Mytilus edulis: one gene and its partner. The protein of the gene in region 1 purifies or fractionates together with the protein of each later gene. This does not show direct contact. Links are inferred from orthologs where the notes say so. Each region holds a gene or a part of one and is shown in the gene's direction. Other genes may lie near its edges. The genes, in order: ATP-binding cassette sub-family E member 1-like and protein LTO1 homolog.

Region 1 (10,730 bases):
ACTATATTATTTGGGAAATCTCCTGAAATTCTACAGGAACTACTTGATAAACTACTTATTTATTGTAATAAATGGAATATAGAAGTGAATATTAACAAAACGAAAGTTGTTGTATTCAAAAATGGCTGGCAACCCGTAACTGCAAAATTTTTCTACAACAACGAAGAACTAGAAATTGTCGATTCGTATATATATCTTGGTATGCTGATACACTGTAATGGAAAAATTTTAAAAACACAGAAGCGATTAGCCTTACAAGGTTCACGATCTTTGGCAGCTCTAAATAATTCTACAAATGGTTTATACTTGACGAAGAAAAAGAAATGTGATTTGTTCGATAGTATGGTTGCGTCTGTGATAAATTATGCTTCGGAAATTTGGGGTTTCCATCGTGGAAATGATGTTGAAATTATCCATAACCGTTTTTGTCGATCTATTTTGAAACTGGGTAAAAGTACGCCAAATGTATTTTTATATGGCGAACTAGGGCGTTTGCCAATGAATGTAATTAGAAAACAAAAAGTTTTAAAATACTGGTTAAAAATTGTAACTCATAAACCACTTATTGTGTATGATATTTATATATTGTTACTCAGAGATGCAAATACTGGTAAAACTAATTGGGTTTCTAATGTTCGTGACCTATTGTTTAGTATTGGTTTAAACTTTGTATGGTACCAGCAGTCTGGTATAAATATATCATTAGATGTAATAAAAACTAGGTTAAAAGATCAATATATTCAAAGCTGGTCTGCATCTATACAGGATTGTGAGAAACTTACTATGTACAGAATTTTAAAATTAGATTTTTGTTTTGAAGATTACGTAGATTATAACTATAATTCACATTTTTTCACAAAGCTACGTAGTGGTACTATGAAGTTAAATGTTGAGGTGGGGCGTTATACAAATATACTAAGAGAAAACAGATTATGTACTTGCTGTAATATGAAAAGTGTTGAAGATGAGTACCATTTTACGTTAGTGTGTCCTGTGTATAGGCATGTACGACTGCAGTTTTTACCAAATTATTACTGTTCGTGGCCAAATGTGACAAAACTTATGTATCTGTATCAAACAAAATCTAGATCTTTAGTTGGAAAATTATGTAATTATTTGAAATCTGCCTGGCAGATTAGATCACATCTAATAAGTTGATAATTTGTCTATTGTAATATCTTATTATATTGTTCTCTGTTGTTTATTGTGTGTCACAATGTAAATATGTTTGTGTTGCTATAGCATGTAACTACTGCTTTGCAAATAAAGAATTCATTCATTCAATTCTCTTAATACTGAATACTGCTGGATAATTTATATTTTCGAAATTAAATTTTTGAACTTTAAAGGAAAAGGAGTAGGTTCAGTATGACCCCTTTTTGGCCCCAAAATATAGCAGTTTTAGAAAATTGTTAAAATGTAAACTTTTAGTTATTGATTGGACAGTAGAATGCTTCTGCTACATAAATGTGGGCTGGTTTTGACAATACAATGCACATATATCAGGGACTAGCACCATTAAGTCATGCTAAATTACTGAAATCCTCATAATTCTAGCATTTTAGTTAAATTTTAGACGGTTTTCGTGTAAAACGAAAGTGGCCGCATTCGTGTTCATCCTTAATATTGAAATGTAAGTTGTATTTTATGATAATACTTAACATATATAAAGGTTGAGGATGAACACGGATGCGGCCACTTTCATTTTTACCAAAAACCATCTGAAAAGTGACATTTTTCGGCATATTATGTAGATTTTTCATATTTGAGCATGAATCGGATCGTTTTTAATGACTAAATCTGTTAAAATCTTTCACATAAACTAATTAATTCAAAATAAATAGACACTTAAGTGTTTAAAAAGTGGTCAAAATCTTTCGTCAGATGAACCTGAAATTTGAGGCCAAAATCGGTCCTTACCGGACCTACTCCTTTCACGGTCGATGGATAAGATAGTCCAGTCCCTTCTGAAGTCCTTGATTTATCAATAAGGGCAGATGACAAGGTTATGTCCTTGAACAATTATGATTTTTTTTTAAGTATTCTTCTTACTTTTATTAAAAAACTTTTTATGTTTTGTAATAAAGCACTGATATGCGCTGGAAATTAATCTTCAAAATGTTGATGGTTTTCTGTACCTAAATAAGAAGAATATAAAGAAGATCTTTAGATGTTTTGTAGAATTTGGGTATTTTTGATGTTAGTAAAATTCGGTTGACATTTTCGATTTTTCGACTCTGTACACTATACACACATCTGTACGTCTTATCTAACCGAATGTCTCTTATTCAAATAAATGCATGGTCCTTTCATAAATCTGGTTTCCGATTTATGTGGTTCAACCCGATCATACAAACCTTATATTTTAATGAAAAACGAAAACTATCCTACAGATACTTATTCAGTCGCTTTGGTGAGACGAATAAAGCCGGTGTAAAATCTCCTTGACAATATCAGTGTACCTTTCAGCAATAAATTAAAAGTTGACCATTGTCGACAGGTTGTAGATATATCCATGGACATCAATTGCATTCCTGTATTGTCATCACAGCTATCTGATTTTGTCAAACTCACGATATAGAGATCCAACTAAGTTATGTGTATGATATAAATTTTCAAATTATACAAAATTACGACAAAACACAATTTTTCGTTTCATATTGTAAATTTCCCCTCTTTTTTATACGAATTGATGTTCCTAAAAAATTGCCTCTTCCTGCAGTGTGTATATTTCACAACTGGTTCGCTATACCAGGCTGTCACGGTCTGTGGTCACGTTTTAGATTTAGAGGAACGTCATTTTTGCATACCTGGTAACTGATTGATAAAACTTCAGGGATTTTGTTACCTGACAAATAAAATGGAACCACCAAACTCTAATTTTAACGGTGATGTTGTAGAGCCCGTAAATTTAGAAACGATCCATGTAAACTAATTTATGCTTTGAATAAACACAGTTTTAAAAGTTATCAATTTAATAACACTTTAGAAAAAGATCTTTGAATATTGCTTTTTTTTATCAGTACTAAAATCGATTTTGTTTTTGAAAGATCAAAATATAACTAAATATATAATAGCACGTATATACGACTAAATATGAGAACTCATGATCCGAAATCCTGTTGATACTTTTGCATTGCACAATAAAGGTCGTGTCTTCCTCAATCTGTTTGTTGCTGTTTGTGGCGTCTTTACATTTAATTTGTTGGATGTATACTGATTGATGCTTTATTCTGGGAGATCATAATTTATTTACATTAGTTTTGTTGTGATTGGCTTTAACTACTAATGCTGGTGCTCTTGCGTCACTCTTTAACTCATTTAAGATGCTCATAGGCGGATCCAGGGGGGGGGGGGGGGGTGCCCTTTCTTTGGAAAAAATTGATTGATTATATAGGGAAGCACTGAAGCATGACTTGAGCGGGCCCCCTTAGGTCAGTCAGAGGGCTTCCCCTTAGGAAAAGTTCTGGATCCGCCACTGATGCTGTATATATCAACTCAACAGAAATATGAAATGGTCGATAGTCTTGTTTGTTCGATCTTGAGCTAAGGTTCTGTGATAGAGGGTTTCATAATGCCAACTTGGACATTTAATTGGATCATAACAAATTTTGTAGATTTGTACTTGAAGTTCGTTAAAATTCACCTTTATATGCTCTTAACGGCGAACTTGGTTATTTGCTAATGCATATTATTGGAAAACAAAGAATGCTTAGTTGAAATTTGTTACCAAGAATTATTGTATTTGATGTATAAAACGGTAGTTAATGATGCTGAGAATGATAAAACAAACTGGGCGTCAAATGTTCGTACCTTTTTTTAAATGATCTTGGTTATAATTTTTTTTATGGTATAGCGGTTATAACTTAAAGAAAGTGTATTTTTTTCATATGATGTTTTGAAACTCTATGATAAGTTTTTACAAAGATGGCCTTCTTGTATGTTGGATTGTGAAAAAATGGATATTTTGAAAATATTTAAAATTGACTTTTGTTTGGGAAAATATTAGTTCTTGATGTCAATGTTAGACTCTTAACACAACTAAGATATGTTTCAACATTGAACCTGCAAGATATAACAACGTGCCTCGTACTGAAAGACTGTCAATGTTGCAATATGAAAACCATTGAAGATGAATATCATTTTGTAATGATTTGCTATACCCATTTGCGTCTAAGATCTTTTGTCTTATTATTCATGTTATTTTTGTTGTTGTCTTAATATGCCAAAATGTTTATCACTTATTCAAACTTGTTCAAGAACTTTTGTATTAAAACTTTGTTGTTTGTTAAATGAAAACTGGAAACTACGGTCACAATTGATAAAGTAGATTATGAGGTAGATTATAAGGTACTATTTGTTTAATAGGTTTTTTTTTCTTAATTATTATTTTGCTCTCTGTTTTCATTTATATTATTTTGCTCTCTGTTTTCATTTATATTATTTCGCTTAGTACTATATTTCATATTACATATGTTGTTGATGCTAAAGGACTTTCTTATATGCAAACTTATTACAATTACAATTTCAATAATTTATAATTGTAATATTTAATTTTTAATTGTAATTTTTTTTTTTTTTATGTAATAATTATTATGTATTCACTATGTTATATATTGGTACGTGACACTATAATAAATTATTCTGATTCTGATTTAACAGAATTTATTTTTTCCCCACGCGTTCAGTTTCGTTTTTTTTTTCATTCAAGGAGAATTGTTAGAGTATGCGTAATGACAAAGATAGGTGCACAGTTAGTTCCCATATTAATTTAGACAAAGTTATATGTCACAAAAACATTTTCAACTTGAAGAAATGCAAGGCCCTAATAAAGTCTGTGTATGTTTAGGAACAATGAATGTACCATAGAAATAACGTTTATCAATTTAACAGACGAGGCGAGTCCGACTGTTAGAGTGGGGCGCTCATATTCGCCGTGGACACAATTTCGCCGTTTTATGATTTTGAGGTGTAAAAACTCCAAAGGATGGCTAAAATGGAAGAAATATGCCGTTTAATTATATTTTTATAACAAATATGATTATTTTTGAAAATGAGGCTAAATTTCGGCACTTACGGCAAAGGACCGAAAAATGAACAACGATTTTCAGCCAATTTCCTGAATGAAAAAAAACATTTCAAAGAAGCATTCCTTAGTAATTCTTTGACTGATTGCCCTAAATTTAAGTTTTTACACCTTTCAAATGTCTGCTATTCGTCTATAATGAATTTTTTTTATAAATATTGTTTAAAGCTGCAGTTATTTGGTTTTAAATAGATATGTAAAAACGGCGAATATGTGTCCCCCTTTGACAAAAAATTAGAAAATTTCAAACACCCTTTAATCCAACTTTTCAGATGATTTTACTAAAAACAAACACGTTTTCAAGCTAAGAATATTTTGCATTTGAAGTTATATCAGTATACTTCAAAAACATAAAGACCTGAACATAAACTGAAGACAACATGGAAAGATATGGCGAAAATGATGATCACCCCACTCTACCGTATCCGTTTATCAAACTGCATCAGCCCTTCAAGTCAAATAGTCTTACCAAGCTATTTTATTTTTTTCCAGATTAAATGGAAAAGGTGTAAACTTCTGATTCAGAGAGTTCTCACATATATCCAAAAAGGTTGAACAATGCCCTCTTGCTGGCCTTAAGAATTTACAAACTTCCTTTAGTGAGCCTCAAATCCTAATTTTGTCCGAATCAGTCTTACGTTTTCATAAATATACTTGGAAAAATAATATATACTATCAAGACAACAAACAAAATTCTTAAACGTCCTTTTTATTACTTTTTTAATAAAAGATGAAAGATATGAATAAAAGAGTTATATATAAATGCAAATTTAGTAACGAAATGCAAGCAAACAATAAAAGCGTCTCTGATACGCTGATGATTGCGAAACATGTGGAAATAGGAGGCCGCCATATTTACCAGCCCTGAAGAAGCCGGTTGGCTCCACTGTGTATTTCTCAAATTTTACTGACATTGTATGAGTTTACAATCGTAACAATTTTTTAAATCATTCTATGATCATGGCATTGATTGTTGTTTACTTTTAATTGGGCAATATTCGATGTACTTTTCGATAATTTTGTCTTGTGAAGTTTTGTCACAATTTGCCATATGTCGGGTCTTCACAAATATAATGCATGTAATTAGAAAATTAATCCATGTTGAGGTAGATTTTCAGATAGTATCCAAATGTTGCAATTATGTTCAACTTCCAGTGATTATCATCGTCTTTCTAAAGAAATATGAGGCAGGCATTACCTGTAAGGCAGCAACCATTTGATTTTCTGGGGGGGGCTATGGTCATCTACTTATGGGATAAAGCAAACCTTCAATCTCTGAAGGCAGATGTCACCCTATTCGTATCTGACTTTGTCTCACAGCCACCTCATAACATGAACACTTGTTGGACTTCATTCCGGGACAAAGTCCTAACTCTGATGGACAAGCACATCCCACATAAACTCACTCGCTCACGATACACAAATCCATGGATGAACACAGATACACGCCGACTTGCACGACGCAAGGACCGAGCTTTTAAAAAAGCAAATGCCACTAAGAGCACTAGAGACGTTCGCAGGTATAAACATCTTAAAGCAGAATGTCAACGCAACATCAGACAGGCTCACAGCAATTATGTTAAAGACATCATTAGCCCGGAAGCGAAGCAGAACCCCAAAAAGTTTTGGTCCTTCGTGAAAAGTGGGAAACAGGAAGCCTCAGGTGTGGCTCCACTTAGGAACACCGACGGATTGATCCACAACGACCCGAAGATAAAAGCTAATATCCTCAACAACCAATTTAAATCTGTCTTCACAGAGGAGGATACAAACACAATGCCAGATAAGGGACCTAGTCCCTATCCCAAAATGGCACCAATTACCATCGGAACCACAGGTGTGGCCAAGCTTCTTAAAAATTTAAACCCACACAAGGCAACAGGACCAGACTCGATATCGTCTCGCTTCCTTAAAGAGTTATCATCAGAATTAGCGCCTGCTCTTGCACACATCTTTCAATTCTCAATTAATGTTGGGCAAGTTCCAGATGACTGGCGCATGGCACATGTGGTGCCCCTCTTCAAGAAAGGAGACAAGAGTACTGCGGCAAATTACCGTCCTGTGTCTCTAACAGCAATTTGCTCCAAAGTGATGGAGCACATACTCCACTCGAAGATAATGGAACACCTAGAAAAACACTCCATTTTAACACCAGCCCAACATGGATTCCGCACAAAACGCTCATGTGAGACTCAGCTGATTGCCACTATTCATGAACTGGCAAATGGACTATCAGATGGCCAACAAATCGACGCAATACTATTAGACTTTGCCAAAGCCTTTGATAAGGTGCCACACAAGCGACTTCTCCATAAGCTCCAATACTATGGAGTCAGTGACTATACTCTCAAATGGGTGGAGAGCTTCCTGAACAGTAGGAAACAACATGTTCTAGTGGAGGGAACAATGTCAGACGAAGCAGAGGTAGTTTCTGGTGTACCACAAGGTACAGTAATGGGACCCCTGCTCTTTCTTGTCTTCATCAATGACCTCCCTGAATCGGTTAACTCGAGCGTGAAATTGTTTGCTGATGACTGCCTGTTATATCGTCCTATTCGATCCACTAGCGATTCCACCAAGCTACAAGACGACCTTGATAAATTAGAAAAATGGGAAAATGATTGGCAAATGGCGTTCCACCCGCAAAAATGCACCACCATCCATATCAGCAAGAAACGCAAACCCACCATATGCGATTACCATCTGCATGGCCATACCCTTGAAAGCGTCCCAGGCGGGAAATACCTTGGCTTATACATCAGCAAGGACCTGTCTTGGCGTGAGCACATTAACCAGACCACAGCCAAAGCCTCCAGATCTGTTGGATTCCTGCGAAGGAACCTCAGATGTTGTCCTCAGGAAGTAAAAAGTCAAGCCTACACAACTTTAGTAAGACCCGTCCTCGAGTACGCCAGCGCTGTCTGGGATCCCTACCAGCAACAACAAATCCAACAACTGGAAAACGTACAACGCCAGGCTGCTAGATTCGTAATGGGGGACTTTTTCTCGAGGGAACCAGGTTGTGTGACTAAAATGACTCAGCAACTAGGTTGGGAACCACTGGAACATAGGAGAGCTAGGAGCAGAGTCATCATGTTCTACAAGATAATAAACCATATTGTAGAAGTTCCTGTTCACCACCTGCTCAGCCATCATGATACCAGAACCCGTGGTTCCGTGTCAAATAACATCAGACAGATAAGGACCAGACTGGACTGCTTTAAATATTCATTCATCCCAGCCACCATCATATCCTGGAACAACATACCTCCAGATATCCGAGCTTCCCCGTCTGTGGAACACTTTCGACACGCCATCCAAGATGTCAGCGTGTCGACACTACTCCACATCTAAATTACAGCACCGTTTTTAACTGTACATACAGATCTCTTTTTAGCTGTACATACTTGAAGGTTTTTAGCTGTTCACTCACGCTGGAGTATATACACTCAAATATGAGTCCACTCCTTGACGGGAAGATAGATAGATAGATAGATGGTTTTTTTTTCTGGACAAATTTTTTTTTTCGCCTGCGGCGAAAAACAATCTATTTTTTTCGCAACAAGTCGAAAACAATTTTTTTCTTTCAATTTTAGCATTACATATAGTGGCAGCTGAGGGGGAAACAAACAATTTTTTTTTCTCAGAATCAAAAACAAATTATTTTTTTCTCCGAAAACTGGAAACAAACTTTTTTTTCCAAAAAAAACCATAGCCCCCCCCAGAAAATCAAATGGTTGCTGCCTAAATGGGGACGAAGTCTGTATGAATTATTTTTTGTAACTTAAATATTTGTTTAAAAAAAAAGAAACGGAAATACCGTAACGTTTCCGATTTTGGTTCTGTTGTTAGGGATTTAGTTGTGACGTTATTTAAATTATGACGTCATATGCAATGTAAACAAAGAAACGCTATCATCAGGTAACGTTTTTTCATATCAAGGAATATTAAAAATGAAATTGGTATTGCGCGTTCCTTCCTATTTTATACTAGACTGATAAATATATATTTTACTCAAAGTTTCATACAAACGAGACCGGAAAAAGGAAGTACATTGTACATTTCTGCGCAGGTCCGGGATTTCAAAACACGACAAAAAAAAAATTGAACGATTTTGAGTTCAATAGTACAATGAAAAATTCAGGAAATTTTCCCGTATTTTTTTTTTTATTGAATTTTCTACTGTTATTGGGGACTCTGTCCCCATATAAATTGAAAAAAGAAAAACTTCGCGGGACCTCATTCATTCAAAATGCGAATTCGGAGTTCCTTACCTGGAAGAAGAAGAAGAAAATTTACAGATTGACTGTATTTTGAATGCAAAAAAAAAATGAACAGTGCATTTTTGCCCCCCCCCCCCCCCCCCCAAAAAAATAAATGGTTAAGGACTGCAAATGAAGAAAAATGCAAGGGATTTACTCATAAATAAAACAAATCTGTAAAAGTTGTTGCCTTTTATGTAAGGATTTTCTCTTGGCAATATTTTGCTGAAACCATAAAATGATATTTTGACTATTTTACTGATTATGTCTGTTTTTTTCACGCATCGTTATTAAAATAACGGATTTTGATGCAACTGTCATACAAGTATGAGGTTTAGCGCTATAAAACCAGGTTCAATCCACCACTTTCTACATTTGAAAATGCCTGTACCAAGTCAGGAATTTGACGGTTGTTGTCCATTCGTTTGATGTGTTTTATCATTTGATTTTGCCATTCGATAAGGGAATTTCCGTTTTGAATTTTCCTCTGAGTTCAGTATTTTTGTGATTTTTCTTTTTCCCTTGGAAGTTGGAATAAAAAGAAAGTAAAATTTTGCGCAGTCAAATTACAACCCATTGTGGGTGTTATATGTGAATTTCCGTTTTTTTAATTTTCCTCTGAGTTAAGTATTTATGTGATTTTACTTTTTCCCTTGGAAGTTGGAATAAAAAATTTTTTTAAATTTGCGCAGTCATATTACAGCCCATTGTGGGTGTTAAATAATACTAGTCTCTAACTTGAGATATATTAAAAAAAATTAAACATCGGGAAGACCATTTAACTCTCAAGGAGTGAAGGGTTATTTTTTGGAAAGAATTATTTCTGATTGACTGTCTGTGCCAATTAATAAAATTGAAAGGTAAATTAATTTTAGCCTACCACAAAAAATTCTATAATTTGATGCTTGTGTGTTGCCAAAAAAAACCAACATTTTGCTTTTTCAACCTTAAATGGTTCCTTAAAGCATTCCTCTATCAGTGACTATTTGGTAATATTAGACCATTTAGCAATATTTTACTGTTTACTTTTACAACTTCTTTAATTTATTTTCAGAAACAATGTCGAAAACACAAGATAAGTTAACTCGTATTGCTATTGTCAGCAATGACAAATGCAAACCAAAAAGATGCAGACAGGAGTGTAAGAAGTCCTGTCCTGTAGTAAGAATGGGTGAGTAGATCTACAAATGAGCTGTCGGATAAAATCAACCTTATTCAAATGAATATCATGATCAGTACATATTTTTATTTGATTTAGGTGGGGAAAAAAAATCTTTGCAAAGTCTTTAACAGTTTGAAAAATACATGATAAAAGAATCCTATTCAAAACATACCACCAATCAGATTTGATTTCGTATTTGAATGTTTCTAAGTCGATCAAT
Region 2 (11,107 bases), on another chromosome or scaffold:
TACAGTTTATCTCTATCTATAATAATATTCAAGATAATAACCAAAAACATCAAAATTTTCTCAAAATTACCAATTCAGGGGCAGCAACCCAACAACGGGTTGTCCGATTCATCTGACAATTTCAGGGCAGATAGATCTTGACCTGATAAACAATTTTGCCCCATGTCAGATTTGCTCTAAATGCTTTGGTTTTTGAGTTATAAGCCCAAAACTGCATTTTAACCCTATGTTCTATTTTTAGCCATGGCGGCCATCTTGGTTGGTTGGGCGGGTCACCGGACACAATTTTTAAACTAGATACCCTAATAATGATTTTGGCCATGTTTGGTTAAATTTGGCCCAGCAGTTTCAGAGGAGAAGATTTTTGTAAAAGTTAACGACGACGGACGCAGGACGACGCCGGACGATGCCGGACGCCGGACGCCAAGTGATGAGAAAAGCTCACTTGGCCCTTCGGGCCAGGTGAGCTAAAAATCATCTTGATGTCTTCAGTAATATGCATAAGTTCCTTTTAATGAACCAAGGACCATGATGTTGAATTCCCTTGCAATATCTTTTTACTCATTAGTTTAGTCAATCTCTGTTAGTCTTTGTTACATTAAATCTTTGACATGTCTTGATTCCAGGTGATAACACCTTGACATATCATATTAGACAAAATTAGCCAGCTTGTTGAAGACCAAATGTTAACCTGTAGATTTCCTTTTAGTTTGTATGTGTGCTCGGTTGCAGTCTTATGGGTAAAAAAATAATCTTGAAATACAAACTTGGAACGAATTCAATACTTTTATTAAATTTTGAAACTTTGTTTTTTGTTTTTTTTTAATTTTTGCCATTTAATTCAGGTTAATATGTTGACTGGCATAAAAAATGCAGAACTTTGCAACATGTACATACTTTCCCTTTCATGTTGATGCATTTTCTCCTCACCAATAACAAATTGTCCATGGTGTTCTTTCTGAAAATATATCAAATGCACTTTGTTAAAATATAATTTTTCACTTTTTGGGTCTTTTTGAAAATGTTGTTTGTGCTGTATTGAGACCCCTCTACAACAAAATTTGTTTTACATGCACACATATAAAAATTAAGGTTTTTATCTAATGCAATTATAGGTTTGAACGTTGTTTTCAATTAAGACTTGTTTATATACATATAAATTGCTTCACTAAGCACAGCTGGATTTGACCACAGAGGTCCAACAGTCGGGGCAAAATTGGACACAATATTCTCACTTGATACAGGTCTGAATTTGGATTGTAATTAATTTATTACAAAAGCTCATTTTGCGTGTTGAGTAGACATGTGATGAAAACAAATTGTGAAAACGTGATATGACACTACCATTTTGATATTTATAGATCCTTAATGTACAATTAACATAAACATCTGTACCTTTGCAGCACCCATCAAACGAAGGAATTTATTCTTCCTGTTAGTATCTCCCAAATCTACTTCTTCCCACTTGTTGGCAGAGTGAACCTTAAAATATATATGTGCATAAGTTAACATTCACAATTAAAGCAGGTTAAACTCACAAGCTATTACTCACTAATACTTACCCTGCTTTAAGTATTTGGCTAACAGGAAGCTGAAGAAAAATGAATCTGAAAACAAATTACTTAGTCTAGCATGTGCATATGAAAAATGCAGATAGCAAATTATGTGAGGTTCAGTTTCATAGATAAATCTAATGATGTTTTCAAATATAAGGCCATTAAGACGTTAAGAGCATATATTAAAATATTCTAAATTCTAGAGACTGTTGACTGATGAATCTTAAACCATGTCTCAAAGTAAAACATGCTGACATGAAGCCTGATAACAATTTTCAGGAATCTATTGTTTGTAGTTCCTGATTGAAATTAATTGTGAAATTTTCGAAGGAATACTGTATGTATAGTATGATAGTAAAGATGATTAAAATTAATGAACAATATTTTCTATATATATATGTGTTAACAGTCCAGGTATCAGACTTTGTTATTTTCTATGTCTGAAGAGGTTATCTTTGTGTTCAGGTTTAAAAATCAGAGAGGCAGATTTAGGGGGGGGGGGGGGGGGGGGGGGCAGGGGGCCTGGGCCTGATTGTTATAAATATAGAATACTTTTAGAAAGAAAAACTATATGAAAGCTTAGTTTGGACAATTTTATAGCAATTCAAAATAAACAGTTCCTCTTATTTATAAGAATCAGACATTATGTGAATTAAAACATCACATATTCAGTAAAATATGTGTAAAATTGCAATATATGTTTGTAGGAAGTTTCCATGGGGGAGATAATAACTTTTCTTTCAAAAAGTCTTTATTCAAAAGAATAATATTTTAGGTTATCTCCCCTGAAAACTTATCAATAGCATATTGTTATTTTACTGAATATATGATCAGTGGTCTCGCTAGCCCAAAATAGAAGGGCGCCGCGCCCTGGGTGCCCTCAGCTGCGCCCTGGGTGCCTTCATCCGCGCCCTTCTGCCCTGACGTCTTTTTCCAAAATTATCTGGTGCCGTTTTGGTAAAATTTTGTTTCATCGATTTCTGATCTCCAAGTTAATTACATATATGACACCTGTGTGATTGCCCCCATGTTAATCATGTCATTACAATCAATTACAATGATAAAGACTTCAAAGGTGTTAATAACTAGGTAATTTAATTAGGACAATGTATCTTTTTGTCATACTTCTACTTCTACTTCTACCATATAGTGACAGCCTTCAACAAATTGAAGATTATGTCACAGGAGGAAACTTACAACAAGACATAGATTGAAAAATGTACAAGTTTAAAAAAAAAAAAAAAAAAAAAAAAATATGAAAAATTAAAAAATATAAAATGTTTTGTATAATAAAGTAAGATGTTGTAATTAATATTGATGCTTTGAGATTGAAGATTTAAAAGAGTCTACTGAAGTGCAATTTACAATGTTATCTGGTAGTTTGTTCCAGTCGGTAATAGTTCTTGGAAAATATGATTCTTTTCTGTACTGTGTTTTGCAGGATGGAATTTGGAAGCTGTTCGAATTAGAATGTCTTGTTTGTCTTTTTTGAGGAATTAATTTATTATTTTTAGGAATTGCAACCTTTTCGTGTTCAATTTTGAAAAGCATTACCAATCTGGAGTCTTTTCTTCTGTCAGAGAGACTGCGCCATTCAAGATGTTGTAACATGTTACCAACGCTTGAGGTGTTTCTGTATTTGTTGGTAACAAAACGTGCAGCCCTCCTTTGAACTTTTTCAATGCTATCTATGTCTTGTTGTAAGTATGGATCCCAAACAGAGCAAGCATACTCTAGTGATGGTCTTACTAGGGACTTATATGCTTGCTCTTTAATGGATGTTGAACTTATGTTCAGGTTCCTCCTTAGAAAGCCTAGTGTGCTATTAGCTTTCTTGCATATGTTGTTAATATGCACATCCCATTTAAGGTTGGAACTGATGGTGACCCCCAGATATTTTGCTGTTGTTACATGTTCTAATGAATGATTGTGTAATGTGTAGTTAAATGTGATTGGTTTTTTATTTCTGGTGACTGAAATTACATTACACTTATCTGGGTGGAATGCCATTTTCCAAGTAGTTTCCCACGATGCCAGTTTGTTTAGATCTTTTTGTAATGTTAATGCATCGGAGTTTGATTTTATTGCCAAATAAACTATTGTGTCGTCTGCAAATAAACGTACTGTAGATGTTAGACCAGTTGGAATGTCATTTATATAGTACAAGAAGAGACTTGGTCCAAGAACTGACCCCTGTGGAACCCCTGACTCAACTGCAACATACTCAGATTTTTCCCCCTCTAGAACTACTGCCTGTTTGCGATTGCTAAGAAAATTTTGTATCCAGTAATTTAATTCCCCTTGTATCCCGTAATGATGAATGTGTCAGCGAGTGTGTTTTAAGCTTGGGTCTGCATTTTCGATCTCCAAGTCACAATGGAAGAGCGTATATAAATGAAGACTTTCATGACTTTAGAATTGAATTTAAGTCATCAAAATAAAACTATGCCTTTACAGAAATGCCTTCCATCTCAACTTGTTAGCGACAAGCACAGTTTTTAATTAACCCAAACGTGGTGGAAATTGATTTTGGAGTTACTTCCCCTGTTTTAGCTTATTACAAATTTGTGCTCTAAAAATATTATCTAGTACCAAAAAAAGGAATAAATTACCAATTGAATATATAATAACATAATAATGTTACCTTAAAGATATTAACTGTCTTTGAACATATCAAAAAATATATATTGCAATTTCTACTTGATAATTATACTTTTAGCAATCCATGTTCTAAACATTGTTAAATTAGTAATGCTCTCTGTTTCAGATCATATGATGTTTTCAAAGCTATAAATCCTATATAGATAAAAAAAAAAAAACAAAAAAAAAACACATATTCTTTGATAATGGGTAGAGTGAAGTTGAACTGTAAAAACATAATATGTTGATGAAGATGTACTATATCAGTCATAACTACACAAACAATGAAATAAAGACTATAGTTGAAAAGCATCTTTATTTAAAAAAAAAAAACATATACAGTAAAAAAAAAAAAAGAGAATCGTGAACTCGTGATACACACAGAAACGTAGACAAAAAAATGAGCAGTGCCTTTTCTTATCATAAAAAGTGCCCTGCCCTCCACTGGCACCCTGCCCCTTTTGATTTCTAGCTAGAGCACTGATGATGTTTTATTTAAAATGATATCTGATTCTTATAAATATAGAATACTTTTAGAAAGAAAAACTATATGAAAGCTTAGTTTGGACAATTTAATAGCAATTCCAAATAAACAGTTCCCCTTCAGCATGGAAATGAATATAATATAACTATACAAACTGATAAACTACATTGTCACAACATCATTAAAGTGGAGTTAAAGTCTTATAGGATTGTAAGTATGTTTTATTTTATCACCTTGCACTTTCATGACTTGGCTGTGGTTTTCTACAGCAGTTGGTTCAAATTTCTGACCAGTTGAACAATTTGAATTTGTAAAACAAATTGCAATTTGGTCAAAATTTTGAATGAGTTGCAATTGGTGAAGAGCAACACTAACAGTCAACTCACTGTAAAGAATTATTAAAAATGAAATTGATATTGCGCTCCTCCCTATTTTATACTAGACTGATAAATATATATTTTACTCAAAATTTCCTGCAAACGAGACCGGAAAAAGGAAGTACATTGTAGATTTCTGCGCAGATGCAGGAATTCAAAACATGCCATAAAAAAAATTGAACGATTTTGAGTTCATTAGTACAATAAAAATTTGGGGGAAAATTTTCCAGATTGTTTTTTTTTTTTTATTGAATTTTCTACTGTTATTGGGGACTTCGTCCCCATATTATTTACTGACTTTTATTGATTGAATTTCTGATTCCTGTGATAAGACAATACAAATACAACTGCTTCAAAATCAGTCAATTGTATTATCGTCATAAAGAAAATGTGCATTTTATCATTATGCACAAAAAATAACTGTTTAACGTCATTTGTCATGATTTTGTTTACCGTTATTCATCATAAAAGTATCTATACTTGATACCAGTATGCATGCTTTGCATGATGTGCTAACTGTTTTATATCTTGTGGCTGTGCTTATCACATATATGTATGGCAGTCAAAAACTCTACATAGCTATGTTGTATTGGTATATGCATACCCGACTTTAAATAAATCTTTTATGCTTTATGCTTATGGAACCCCTGTTTCGACCCTCATGTCTTGCAACAATAATTTGTTCTTTTTACAAAGTATAACAAAGCCTGATAATGCTATTTAGTGAAGACTAAAGTATAAATGTTATTTAAAGACACTAAGTCATCTGTTTCATTACATTTTCTGGCTCCTTTTCAGCTTTTTTGCTGGATTCTTCCTTTGTTTCTGTTTTCTCTGTCGTTTTTTCCTTTTCACTCATTTTTTCTCGAAGAAATGCTTGCCCCTTCTATCAATAAAAAACGGAAATTAATTTCAATATTGATCATTCACAAGTAAGTGAATGAATAACTAATTATTTTAAACAACAGACAAAGTCATTATGAACGGAAATTTATAACAGTTTGAACATTAAAACTTTCCTGATCCCTTTTTTTGTTCTAAACTTTTCAATGATATAAGTCAAAGGGAGATAATCTTTTCTTTCACTTTCACTTTGATTTACGGTGTTTTACATTTCTCATTATTTAAGAATGGCAAACAATACAGAAGATGATATATTTCATGATATCATAATGGGTGAAGAAAAGTAATTACCCGCTATTGAGCACTCTTTCAATTTATATTGTCATATTTCAAGCCATACAATCATATTAAATCCAAGAAATGTTATCTACACTCAAAATCTTTTGTATTGATCAGTTGATATAATTTGTGCCTTTTGTGGAGTTCGACTGTCCTTGAGTTATTTTTCCTTTGACCTGATGAAACATCTTTCATCTTTTACAATAATTCAATATTTTTTTTCTTCCAATAAAATTACTATGCATTAGACGAAATGCAGCCGCTAGGTGAGATCAAGACTGGTTGATGGCTTTCCATCCAGACAAGTGCACAGTCCTTACAGTATCACAAAAGAAAAAACAGTTTAAACATGACTATATCCTGCACAATCACAAACTTTGAACTAGTCACTTCAGCTAAATATCTGGGCATTACACTACAAACAAACTTAAAATGGTCAATTTTTTTATAAATGTTGTTTTGTTAAACATGTCTCATATGTCGGTTAAAAGCTCATTAGAGCTTATGTTTGTCTATGTTTGTATACCTTGCCGACTCTTATATAAAGCTTATTTATTATTTATTATTATTTATTATTAAAACATACAGATAACATCATAGCTAATGGTAACAAATCTTTGGGCTTCTTAAAAAGAAATTTAAAAACATCATGCCAGAACATCAAAACCCAGGCATATCTGGCACTAGTTCGTCCTAAGCTTAAATATTCATGTTCTGTATGGGACCCTCACGCAGTTGAACAAACCTTTAAAATTGAGATGGTCCAAAGATGAGCTGCTAGATATGTCTGTAACAGGTACCATAACATCAGCAGTCTTACAGACATGATAAACTCACTAAACCTGCCCACACTACAGGAAAGAAGATTACGCACAAGATTGATAATGTTCTACAAAATAGTACATCAAATCGCAGCAATCCCATCTGCTAACCTCATACCATCAGACAGTAGAACCCGCAAAAATCATAGTTTCACTTTCAGACACATTTCTTCCAAAAAAGATAAATATAGATTTTCATTTTTTCCGTACACCATTACTCAGTGGAATTTACTACCAGTCCACACAGTTGCTGTAACCACAGTCGACACATTCAGAGAACAGCTTTAACGGTTTATTTCTTCCTCTGTGATATTTTATCCTGAGGATAATTTGTCCCGGTAATTTTTTTCCAGGCATGGTATTTCACAGGTTGATTTTTTCCAGAGGAGTGAAAATCTATCTGTGTTATGCGGATAGTATTTACCGGTATATATTTGCCGTTCTATATTTCATAGAACCGTGTGAAATAGAGTCCCATTAACTACTATGTAAGTTACTCACAATCTATATATCTGACTACAATTATAAAATGTTTCACAAAGGTAGACCAAATTTGCATAATTTATCAAAGGGAGGTAATTATGAGCAATTTATATTTTTAAGATATATATTTCTGAATCTATTTTATAGCGAAAATTTTCCCTTTAATCTTATTTTTTATATATTCATTTATATAAAAAGATGACTTACAACTTGATATAATAAGACAGAAAACATTTCACAGGTAAAAAATATCCAGCTGTTAAACATGCTTTTGTTCCAATACATTGTTATGCTATGATTTGTCTGATTTCCATATAATCAACAAATACATCTCTGTCCCCAGACAAAACTATTTGTATAGTTAAAAATATCATCATAATCAAATTCTTCTATTACTGCTAACGTTAGTAATGCAACTATATTTCTACCTTACTTTTAAATTTATATTTGTACTGAGATCTGAAAACAACTCACTTGTACATGTATTTCACTAATCTTATTTAATCATGATATTATTTTCACAATTATGATTTTTGAAATTAAATCTGGTTTTCTTCCCTATGTTTCATGATAATTTTCCTTTTAAAAGGATGATATTGACTTGAATATTTCAGGAAATTTTTTCAAGGATAATTTGTGAAATTATTTCCCATTATAATACTTTTTTTTAACAATTTCCTTTTATTTGAAATACACTATTATTATTTCATAGGATAAGTTTTTTCTAATAACTATTCAATAAGTTAACTAACCAGATAGAATTTCACGGCAAAGGCAAAAATATCCCAGGGAAAGATTTTCCTCCGGATAAAAAAAATAACAACAACTACTGTGACATTTTTTCCTCCGGATCAAATTCCACCCGGATATAATTTTGCTTTACACTTACGCTAACTGTTCTCCACAAATTCATTCAACTCATTATTTGCCAATGTACATAGTTTTAATCACAATTTAAAATTAATTTTTACACACTCCAAACTCATTTTCAATTATTTTTGTGGTTATGTAAATATATATATAGGCCACGCAGTGCAAAACAGTATATAATCTTCAGATAATGAAAAACTACGGAAAACCTAAAGAAGAAGAAGACAAGCATAGTAAAATCTAGTCCAAATAATTATGAGGCTATTATACTTTGTTTCTTTGACACCTTACATTGCATGAAGGCATCAAAGCAAAAAGTCCAATACGTCATAATTATTTGGACTCAGTAAAATCCTGCGCGACATAGTAAAATCAATGCCCAGCATGTTATCATCAATACTTTCATGGAGTGCTGAATTATAAAGAAGATATGTCCTTTGCTCCTGACTCATCTGTTTATTTAATCCATAAAATGTGTATCTGTTTAATTTAAAAAAAAAATAGTATGAGAATGGCATAGAAGTTTTTTTTATCACACAACCTTGAACTATATACAAGTAACTATATCTTTTATCATCTTTTACCAATTGTTCAAAAGACAGTCATGTGGAAAATCTCAGATCTTTTTCAGGACTTGAGGTCATTGTGCATAGTTCTCTCAGTTGAAGTTCAATACACCAATCTTGGGTTGTTTTCTATAGATAGGTTACACTAGCTGACCCAGAGTCAATCTAAATAAACAATTTAATCAAACAATAGGTGATTACTCTGATGTAATAAAATCAGCATTGTGACATAAAATAAGATACAGGTATACAGGAAAGAGCATGAATTCAAAAGTCATCAATAGTAAGACACAATGGGACTAAATCATTTTCATTTAGGCAGTATTAAAATGTACAAACATTTGGTCATTGAAACAAGAAAAACAAGTGGTGTGTCCATCATTAAAGATTTACTTCAAAATTTTGTTTTCAGATCTCAGTTGCAGGGTTATGAAGCTGGATTTGAAGCAGGAAAACAATCTGGATATGATGAAGGATACAGACTAGGTTGGGAAAAGGGATCTTCTATTGCATCAGAGGTACAAAAAAGTCATATTTTATTTAATTTTAAAAAGTTGTTATCAAGTAAAATGCAATCTGTACATGACTGAAATTTAACTTTATACATATATAAATAATGCATCTAGAATCAATGATAAAAGAAAATAAAGGAACATATATATATCAGTTATGTGACATTATTAGTTGTAAAAGGTTTTGGATAAGCATTTCAATATCTTTGTTTTTTGTAGGTTGGATTTTATCATGGTTTCATTGAAGAACTTCAAATTAAAATACAGGATGATGACAGCAAACAGAGGTTTGTATCTTGTAACTTTCTAAATACCTTGTATAAACATTCATATGAAATCAAGTACCTCATATAAACATAATTGTACATGTATCAATCAAAAAGCACTTTTAGTAGTTTCTATCATGCTTATTTCAATAATCACCTTTTAAAAGGCCAAGCGAGCTTTTGTCATCACCTGGTGTCCAGTGTGGTTAACTTTTACAAAAAAATCTTCTCCTCTGAAACTACTTGGCCAAATTTAAACAAACTTCGCCATAATCATTAAGCAGTAAAATCTACTAATAAGTCAACTTTACGAAAATTTTTGTTTGACCCCTTTAAAGTCAATTTTTAACAATTTCTTCTCAGAAAGATTGTTTTAGCTCACCTTTCCAAACAAAATACTCAATAACTCCAAAATAAAGTTTTGAATCATCAACAAAAAGTATACAGATCTTTCAGATCTTTAGATTAATATAACAAAGAAGTGTGTAAAGTTTTAAGCAATAATCATAAATTATTTTTGAGATACGGCGCAACATGTAAAAAAAAACCTCCCCTGTTCAACAAAATACTCAATAACTTCAAAATAAAGTTTTGAATCATCAACAAAAAGTATACAGATCTTTAGATTAATATAACAAAGAAGTGTGTAAAGTTTTAAGCAATAATCATAAATTGTTTTTGAGATAGGCACAACATGTAAAAAAAAAAACCTCCCCCTTTTTTACAAAATACTCAATAACTCAAAAATGAAATTTTGAATCATCACCAAAAAGTATACAGATCTTCAGATTAATTAAACAAAGACATGTGTAAAGTTTTAAGCAATAATCATAAATCGTTTATGAGATATGGTGCGACATGTAAAAAAACACTCCCCCTTTTTTACAAAATACTCAATAACTCAAAAATAAAATTTTGAATCATCACCAAAAAGTATACAGATATTAAGATTAATATAAATAAGTTTTAAGCCATAATCAAGAATCGTTTTTGAGATACGGTGCGACATAAGAAAAAAACACACCCCTGTTTTAGTTACAAAGTGCCGTAACTCAAAAAGTTTTAATCTTATTTTCACCAAAAAGTATACAGGTCATTTGACCATCATAAGAAACATTTATGTAAAGTTTCATGAAATTTGGATAAGTCGTTCTCGAGTTATGGTGCGACATGTTTACGCTGGACAGACAGACGGACGGACAGACAGATGGACGGACACCGGACATTTGTATACCATAATACAACCCGTCAAAATTTTGACGGGCCTATAAAAATTGTGAACAATTGTTACCTGAGAACAGTTAATTCACTAATGAGGAGAACAATTGTTTCACAATCGGTATGGAAATC

What was found.
Region 2: the proteins of ATP-binding cassette sub-family E member 1-like (region 1) and protein LTO1 homolog purify together in Homo sapiens (affinity purification with mass spectrometry; 4 studies listed by BioGRID and IntAct, with this or other methods). This does not show direct contact. The link is inferred for Mytilus edulis from reciprocal best matches to the Homo sapiens genes ABCE1 and LTO1.

What each region holds. Positions count from the first base shown.
Region 1 is NC_092351.1:71,729,207-71,739,936, reverse strand, and holds the start of ATP-binding cassette sub-family E member 1-like, read left to right. Parts: upstream 1-5,861; 5' UTR 5,862-5,962; exon of another isoform or gene 5,963-6,001; intron 6,002-10,402; 5' UTR 10,403-10,407; coding exon 10,408-10,519; intron 10,520-10,730. Other genes in the region: uncharacterized protein, read left to right, coding at 1-1,158. UniProt on the Homo sapiens protein: Nucleoside-triphosphatase (NTPase) involved in ribosome recycling by mediating ribosome disassembly. Able to hydrolyze ATP, GTP, UTP and CTP. Splits ribosomes into free 60S subunits and tRNA- and mRNA-bound 40S subunits.
Region 2 is NC_092353.1:26,000,080-26,011,186, forward strand, and holds the start of protein LTO1 homolog, read left to right. Parts: upstream 1-6,097; 5' UTR 6,098-6,187; coding exon 6,188-6,243; intron 6,244-9,391; coding exon 9,392-9,497; intron 9,498-9,710; coding exon 9,711-9,778; intron 9,779-11,107. Other genes in the region: small acidic protein-like, read right to left, coding at 898-958, 1,396-1,482, 5,836-5,916. UniProt on the Homo sapiens protein: The complex LTO1:YAE1 functions as a target specific adapter that probably recruits apo-ABCE1 to the cytosolic iron-sulfur protein assembly (CIA) complex machinery. May be required for biogenesis of the large ribosomal subunit and initiation of translation.